2 linked regions of the Yarrowia lipolytica genome follow. The protein of the gene in region 2 interacts with the protein of the main gene of each other region in a biochemical or structural test. Links are inferred from orthologs where the notes say so. Each region holds a gene or a part of one and is shown on either strand. Other genes may lie near its edges.

Evidence for each region.
Region 1: the proteins of YALI1_A08175g (region 2) and YALI1_D06665g form a complex in vitro, tested with the Saccharomyces cerevisiae proteins (2 studies listed by BioGRID). The link is inferred for Yarrowia lipolytica from reciprocal best matches to the Saccharomyces cerevisiae genes POL3 and POL31.

What each region holds. Positions count from the first base shown.
Region 1 is NC_090773.1:664,622-668,103, forward strand, and holds YALI1_D06665g (uncharacterized protein), read right to left. Parts: upstream 1,943-3,482; coding exon 533-1,942; downstream 1-532. Other genes in the region: YALI1_D06638g (uncharacterized protein), read left to right, coding at 1-147. UniProt on the Saccharomyces cerevisiae protein: DNA polymerase delta (DNA polymerase III) participates in chromosomal DNA replication.
Region 2 is NC_090770.1:813,869-819,559, forward strand, and holds YALI1_A08175g (uncharacterized protein), read right to left. Parts: upstream 3,721-5,691; coding exon 502-3,720; downstream 1-501. Other genes in the region: YALI1_A08126g (uncharacterized protein), read left to right, coding at 1-431.

The DNA.
Region 1 (3,482 bases), on a different chromosome or scaffold from region 2:
TCCACCGGAGTCGAGTTCCTCAACAAGATCACCGTCAAGCAGAAGGACCTGTGTCGAGAAGTCGACTGCTCCATTGTCGTACGAGACTTTACCAAGGCCCTCCCTGCCCCTAACGGGTTGCTGGCTCTTCCCGCCCCTGAAAAGTAGCCTACTGTATATAGTCAAAGAGTGTAGAACATATATCATCATGGTCGCTGTGTTGAGTCATACTCGATGTTTCGGAAGAACTGGAACTATTACTTGTGTGATAACGGGGGAAATGTGCCCTAGAGCTCGTAGAAGATGGCTTCATACGCTACACTGTCCAACCACCTCTCACTTGTGCTACGATCATAAAGCCATGCAAGTGCAATATATTAGTTCCTAACTACTTGTAGTCCCCACTACAAGAGGTAGTTTGTCAAGAGTCCCAGCGACAATTGCTGAGAACATGGCATGTATCTGTTGAGAGCGAGAGTTAGAAGCGCTCATCGAAACCCCCTACTTCGTAGTGCTGCTGCCTACCCTCGCTACGTTGAGCTCCGCTCTCCAGCTAGGCGACAATCCTCAGCACCTCTGCCTTCAATGTTCGCATGTTCACCAGTACCACCTCTCCCGTCTCATCAAACCGCGGAACTGCCACCAGACGCACTGACACTCCGTCATGCTTGACAACACTGGTCTGGAACTCGTCCTGGTTGCCGCAGAAGTACAGGTGGGGAGTTTCCTTGATGATGAAGGGATCGTCATCTCCATAAGGATAGCAAGTCAGGGTATCTGGGGCAGTGGGACACAAGTGCCGCCAGGCAAGCGTATGCTCCATGATATCCAGAATATCGTCTCGTCCTTCGATCAGATATTTGTAGATGTCCGACACGTTTTGTCCCGAGGTTCCCAGCACCTTGAGAGGCGCCTCGTCGGTTGAAAAGTCCCACCAGTAGGGGTTGGAAACAGACCCAAAGGTGGCCTTTTTGAACTTGCGGCTCTGAGGGAACATGGACAGATGCAGCGGCTGCTGAGGAAGCGACATGTTGCCGGGATCGTCGTTTCCTGCCATGATATCAACAGAGATGGATGGCAGCAATTGTGCAATGTACTCGTCAACGCGAGCCATGGGCTTGAAGGCGTCGAGGTCCACGGTTCGAGATAGTGTGTCGATAACGGGTCTTTCTGACTCCAACGAGCAGTTGTTTCCGGCCATAATGAACCGCGAAATGTTTTTGGGCTTTACCAGTCCATCTTTTGCACCATCTTCCTCAAGCAGCCCCTGGAGATATTCTGCCAGAAGCACGTGTTTGTAATCCGTCTTCTTCTGGCCAATGTACAGACCAGAAGCAAGACAAATGTATGTGTCTTCAGGAGTATCATTGTCAGCCATCTCAACGTCTTCTCCGTCATTGACTCCACTCAGAGGTCGATAAATCTGTTCGGGAAAGCCGCCCCAGACCACATCCACGACCGTGAAGCGTCCGTTTTCGCCTGCCGTGCCTAGTACTCCACAAACAACGCCTGTGATGAGCATGAACTCCTGCACCTTTGGTCCCACGAGCGTGATTCGACCGGAGCTGTCCTCCAGCTGAATCGACGAATCGTCCTTGTGTCCACCGTCCTCACAATCGCCCTGAGGGTCCACGTACTTGGGCTTCTTGCCCGGAGGAGCTCCCCAATGGCTGCGGGTCACCTCCTCCAACATGCTGGGTTTGTATTTCATGTCCTTGAACAGTGTGCCGACCACAAACACCGTATCCCCAACAAGAACGTCCAAACACTTGTTGAGGTACTTGACGTTCTTATCAGCCCATTTGGAAGTAGCAGCATCCAGCACCTGGCTCATGAGCTGGTGCAATCGCATGTAGTAGATTGGCGCATACTGACGGTTGTAGTTGCGTTTTGTGATGGGCAACGTGAAGCCATCATTGAGCGAGGTGGCAGTAGTGGGCAGATTTGAACGTATCTCCGGCATGCTGAAAGTGTCGAGTTCTGGTATAGAAAGCTGGAGCAGTATTTCTCGATGGATCAAAATCAAAAGCGTGTAAATTGAACTTTAAAAAGAACCCAAAACCCGTGTACGCGAAAAGAGGGTAAGTAGAAGGAGATGCTGGAGCATGGTAGAGGACGATAGCTAGAGGACGATGAACGTCTATACGCAGTTCTTGAGTTGTACTTTGTATGTAGATATAGTTTCAGAGCGATTGAAGTACTGGATACCACGTTATGGCTGGGATGTTGAGGGAACTCCTATCAACTATGAAAGACGCGTTTAGTTGATATCTTTGTTAAAGCAATTATTTTCAGAGTAGAGCTTTCCGGCGATACTCCAACTCGTAGGAACTCTCGGGGAGCGGCCCCAAAAGATGTAGAAGAATAGGATATAACTGAACCATTACTGTAGCCTGCTATTTCAACATTCTCTTGCGCTGATACGGTCTAGCGGTCTCGCAGTGCTGAGGAAGACCTCACGAACACAGGCAAAGTTGAACGTTGGTATATTTATGAGAAGAAAGAGGAACCATGAGCTGTAATGCTGTCAAAAAGTATCAGAAGCTGTCAATTGTTGGGAATCTGGGCCCCTCTCTTCCCCATGGGACGCGCCATGAATCAACATAGAGGAAGTCGGCAGGTTCTTGTGTTATAGGAGTCACACTGGACGGGCAAAAGGAGACAAGGAAGTACAAACACTTCAAATAGGTACTTCTTTGACGCCATTATTATTGATGAAGTACAAACAAACGAGACTAATAGTCTCGGTAACCCCTAAAAAACACTTCATCATACATCCAACAGTTCGCACAGTAATCAACCACATCACGTGAAACGAGAAATATACATACAAAAGAGGACCAAAAAGATGGCGACATCCGCAGGATTCGAACCTACGCGGGGAAACCCCAAGAGATTTCTAATCTCTCGCCTTAACCGCTCGGCCAGGATGCCATGTGTGGACGGGGTTGGGTTGGTGAGCTAGCTCGAGAGACGTGATTAGTAAGCCCGCCAGTAGCTGAAGATCAGAACTATTGGAGATGATCAGAGAGTCGCAAAAACAGCTTATCAAAATACTTGTTGTTGATTTCGTGAAATGCCAGATTCGGTAAGACTCAGGAGGAGGGAACACATGGCATTCTACGTGACCCCTAAAGAATAAACGGATGTATATATAGAATATCATACCTGTACAAGCACAAGGAGAAGTACTATATAGCTCTCCAATGAACTACCTGTATCTACTAATGCCAACTCTCCTAGCTGGATATTCCTTCTTCCAGACTTGTTGCCGAAAGTTCAAGCCTTCCAGTAGCTCCTTAAAGATGCAATAGATCTCCTAAGACGATTCAAACTACATCAAAATAGCCGTCTTAGACCAGAGATTCCAATGAAAAAGGAATTTAGTCGGAAAACACGCGTCCTTGTCAATTCTAACGCACTGCCATTTTCTTTTTACTGTACCTAACCTCCGCCATAATAAGCTCGCGGCTTTGCTTTGAACCTAGAAATGCACCGCCACA
Region 2 (5,691 bases):
CTGGAAATTGTGTCAAGGGTACGTTTGTTGTTGATTGTGAAACAGGAGAAGAAAGCCGTTTAATGCATCTACAAACTGTCTCTGCTAGTGGCCCGGTCTTTTACAGATTCCTGCCTCGTCTACCTGGATATCGCCGGAAAGGTGCTTCAGATCACCAGTCGCCGTCTCAGGGACTTGGATCGCAGCGACGGGATCTGGTTGGTCCTAACCCTCTGTGTCGGTTTAATGAAAGACATGCCGAGACCCTGTACCGAGCTTTGATGACTTTCGATGATCCATACCTGGAAGGGCAAATGATTGCAACGTCAAAAGCGATACTGGGATTGGGGCAAGAATTGGACATCTGGCTAGCAAGTCGCAATCCCCCTTACATTCCACGTACAACAAGTAGACCTCTTTGGCATCGTGCAATGACACCTTTTCATAGTTGAATACATTACAAAAGTGCAATTGTACAGTAAAGTGTACACATGCCATAAATATATTGTCTATCAATCCAAACTACCAATCTTGAACGTCAAACTTGCTCAGTTCGGCCACACTGCTCTGGATATCCTTCTGCACTCGTCGTCGCATGAAGAAAATGGGACAGTCTCTGGAAGTACAGAGAATGTCCTGGTGAAGCGAACCCTGACATCGCTGACACTCGGTCCACAGCTTTCCAAACTTGACCTCCAACTCACTCAATTGACCCAATGCCTGCTGGTACAAAGCTCCGGCCTTGTCAACACAGTTCTCACAGACAGCACCCTTGGCCCATTTGCCTCGAAGAGGCGTTCGACAACCCTTGCACATTTCCGTCTTGACGGCAAACTTCATCAGTCCACCGGTTGAAGGAGCAGCAACAGTGATGGTACGTGTATGCGCACCAGTCATGAGCTGAGCAGACTTACGCTCGCCGAGAATGGGGTCGAAAATACGCTGGAGAGGCTTCTGCAGCTGGTTCTCAAGGTAGTACTTTGTGTCGATGGGAATGTTGTTTTCCAGCACGTACGATGGGTCTTCAGACTTCTCGTAGTTCTTGCCTCCAACAGCACCCTTGATGATAACGTAGGCAACTCGGTCACCCAGCGCAGGGGCAGAGCCTGCGTCTCGCTTTCGCATACGCTCAGCCAGCTCCACATGGGCCTGCTTAGCAGCGTAGTCCTGCCGAGAGAGCTGTTTAGTGATGACCAACTGCGACAAATCCACCTTGTTCTGCAACAGATTGGCAACCATGGTCTTGACGTAAGCCTGGGCACCCTCCACGTCTCGATCCATGAGAATCTTTCGCAAAACAGTCTCAATCACGTTCTGCACCAGACGACAGTTGTCTCGACGAACTGTCTCGATACCTTTGGTGTCCATCTTGTCAAACTTCTCGGGGTTGGTCCAGTACAGACCAGCATATCGCTTCTTGTTAATCAAAAGATAGGGGAAATAGACCTTTTCGAATTCCAGCTTGATGGGCTTGAGGAACATCTCGGACACGTATTCGGCGGCTTCCAGACCCATATCCATAGCAGTCTTGAGATCTGGCACTCCAAACTTGACCATAACAGAATCAGTATCACCATAAATGACCTTGGCGTTCTCGGGGTAACCGTTGGCCTTGGTGTACTTGTTCTCCACCTGCTCCTTGGTGAACTGGATCATATCTCGACCGTACGCAGTGACGGAAGAAGAGATGGCAAGACAGGGAAGCTTACCAACCGTGGCACCGGTAAATCCGTAGACAGAATTGGCTGAGATCTTCAGAGCCAGCTGACGACCGTCCAGCACGGCCTTCTTGAAGGGGTCGGTCTCCTTCTTCAAGTCGGCCTTGGCCTTCTTACGGGCACTCAGAAGCTCTTCTAGAACAATGGGAAGAATACCCTTTCGGGTCTTCTGGTTGACAAACAGGTCTCCGTTGGGGGTTCGGTGGTAGTCTTCGTCAAGCTTGAGGTCCAGACGCTCAACGGTAGCCTTATCCAGTAGAGTGGTGTAACAGAGGTTATGGGCCATCATAATGGAAGGGTATAGAGACGAGAAGTCGAGAGTGGCAATGGGGATATCGTAGTATCCTCGCTCAGGCTCAATAACCGTGGCTCCCTCATACTGTTCTTCGGAAGAGCCGTCCTGTTTCAAGTTGGGAATGACCATTCCGACTTCCAGGGCCTTTCGGAACAGCTGCGAAATAACCTTGATCTGCTGACCTCGAGAAAGAAGGAAGGAGAACGGGACTCCAGTGACACGAGCCATCTCCGTGTAGTTAATAAGACACATGAGCTTGTCCATGAGTCGCTGAGGCAGATAGGCATCCTTCAAACAGTAGACCGCCAGACGTCGACGGGTGTCTGCGTTTCCATTTTGCAAATCTGTAATGATAGAGTGGTGCACATCTTCCTTCTGCTCCTTTAGAAAGTGAGCAGACACAGCGTTCAGAGTGTACGTTCGCAGCTTGTACTCTCGCTGAATAAACTGCAGAAGATCCAGCTGCGTTCGTCCATCAATGTTGAGCACCTTGGACTCTCGTGTTCCGTACGCCTTGGAAGAGAAGGTGGAGTCTCGAAGGACATTTTGAATATGCGTCAACCGGCCAAAGTAGGGGAAGTCTGTGAGTTTCAAAGTCTTTGCGCGGTCGATGAGATAGGGAAAATCGAAGTTGGTTGTGTTGTAACCGATAATCACGTCTGGATCCACCTCGTTGACAAACTGCTTCCATCGCATCAGCATATCTCCTTCGCTCTCGTGCTCCAGCACCTGGGCTCCTGCAATTGGGGAACACGTGTTGAGAGTGAAAACGTTTCGTACAAACGGACGAGTGTCTCCCTGTCGAGACACGACGTTTGCAATCTGGATAATGGGGTCGATTTTGGGGTCTGGGAATACACCCTTTCTGCCGGCACACTCGATATCAAACGAGAGCACTCGCAGGGGGGCAATGTCACTCCATTCGCCGTCGGCAGGATGCGCGATGAGATCTTTGTAGGAGATGTTGATTTCTCGCTGACATCGAGACACGAGCGACTGGGTTTCAATGGTGTATTTGCCCTTGGGCAGCGTGACCCAACTCATACCACTAATGTGACAGTCGATCATACATCTCAACACGTAGGGAATGTTGTCGAAGGAGGTGCATCCGTTGGCAAACAGCATTCCGACTTGGGCGTGTGACGAGGGGAAGTTGAGGTTTCCGTTCTCAAAAGCAGATCGTAGCTTAGGGATTAGTTTTGGGTTGGTGGCGAAGATCTTAAAGAACTTGGCCTTGGCTCCTCCGTTGTATCCCCAGAAAGATTCTCTTTCACAGACCTCCAGGCGTTCCAGGGCGTCGGGAACGGTGTTTGCAATGGCAGATTTGAGAGTGCTGAGGTTTTCGGCCTTGAACCCAACGGGGACAGGAGCGTAAAAGTAGTGGCAAAAGCCGCGGATGTTGCACAGAATTGTATGTCCCTCCTTTGTGACTCCAAACAGACGCACCACGGCGTGTCCGTTCACCGACGCCTCTTCCGCGTCGATCTGCTGGAAGGAAATGTCGGTTGTCTGAGGATCGAATTCCTTCCATTCAGGCCGGGGCCACACCTGGTCGTCCGACACGACAGCTCCCTTTTCGGCGTCTGAGGCCTGGGTCAGCAGAATCAGCTCCTCTTCAAAGTCGGTGGGATTGGGCTCTTTCGTGACCGATTTGATTTTCTTGGTCTCCATGGCGGCCACGTCGTCGCCCGTTCGCTTGACGTTCATGTCCACTTCCATTGACGGCATTGTGATTGTGTGTGTATGCTGCGGTGTGGTGGTGAAGAAGGGAAGCGCGTGTCTGATAATTAGATTTACGCGTGCCCTGTGGGTGGCGGGGACAGGTCTCCGTACAACGACGAGTTTTGATGGCAGGAAAATTCCAAAAGCAGGAAAATGACGAGAAAACTGTCTTGTGGGAGCGGGAATTTTCCGATCCGAAATACAACCAATATTCGCGGTCCAGACCGCTGTCTCTGTAAATTGTAATAAGAGACCGTATTAGGCAATCTGTATAGAGACGCGTGGGGGAGGGTGGGAACAAGACAATCGGTCCAGTTTTGGCGCCATTGAGAAAAGGAAAGCTGGAATATGAAGAATGACGTGAATATAGAAGTTTGCACTTTTCAGATTTACAATACTACCAATATTGCGGACTCTAGAGACGACTCTCGGTGCAGGAGCTCGTGGGGAGGTGCAGCACGCTGTGTACCGCTGATTCAGGACACCATGCTCATAACCTGTCGTCTGGGGCGTCCCAAGAGCAAGGAATAGACACAAAAAGGATATCCAACTAATCCCCATAATTTGCTTTGTTGTTGTTTTTGTTTCCTGCGCTTTTCCTGTTTTTTTGTCATTCTACACCACTTCATCGCAAGACTGGTTAGCGTTCGAGGCGCGTTCGTTGCTCAGCAATTGTCTACATAAAAAGGAAGGCGTTGATTGGCTGAAAAAAAGTGAATTTTCGAAATATAGACGCCTAGACGACCGTTATACGGGATTTCACCAAGGAAAAACACATTCGAAACATGATTTACGGCTCACCGCACCATTACCAGCGGTCCACCCCAAGATGGAAGCACGCGTTTACAGTTGAAATTTTTTTTACGCGCTGCATATTAATTAAAAAAATTCTGTACCTGTAAGCGGGTGGGAGTGGAGTGCCCAGGTGTGAGCAATAGATGAGAAATAGAGCTGGGTTTGAGTTGGATTTGCAGTGTTTAAAAACGTCTCTTTTTCGAGCGGGTACATAGTATGTAGTATATATTACAGCGATTGCAGCGTGGTTGGAGAGAAGATGGCAAAGAAACACGACTCAAAGGGCAACTGGATGGTACGCGAATGGTACGTACCGGATGCAGTTTGTACAGCAGCTACGGTACTCGTGCTTGTGCTTGGACTGGACTTTGGACCGACTCGATGTAGCTGCCGTAACGCGTATCACTGTTGTGCTGGTGCTTGCAGGCGGATCCGACGACGTACATCTTCCAAACGCACACATCTCCGCCGGAATTTTCAACAAGTTTGATACTATCGTGGAGCTCTCGTTCGGGCAGACATTCTGGGAGCAGCAAAACTCCATTTGGTTCAAATTTGACGGAATTATAGCCATTCTCGCCCCACCAACGCATCTCCAGAAATCACACTCCACCACCAATCGAAAACCCAATTGAGTCACGTGAGCATACCTATTGCGCGGTACGTCCAAGTGGTTTCTCCGTTTCTGATCTCGATTGTTTTCAGTCTAAGCAGTTGCAACGGACGGTGTCGGACAGTGTCGGAGGTCTTCTCGGTGCGATAACGATAAGGAGGTCGGCTTGGCGTACGGTTGTTTGCTTGGCGCACGTGACGTGTGAAAATTGTTGATTGTTGTCTCCATCTTTGTGAGTCTTGTAGATCTACAGCAGAGTCGCAGGAAGAAAGTGCGGTACGGTACAGCTACAAGCAGGCACAACCACGGGTATATTGTACATACACTACATTCGGGCACAAGTGCGTTCAGTATACTCGACATGTCGTGCACGGCGGTGTTTCACTATTGTATCAGTGAAATCGTGAAACATCTAAAACGACGAATATTGACGCTGAAGACACAGAAAAAGGCTCAAAATGACCGCACAAACGAGACTGACCGATCAACAACATTTTCAACCACACTTGTCTTCCGAAACTGGCCGTCAAACAGCCCGTTTACGGCCCGTATTTCACTCTCCAAATAAG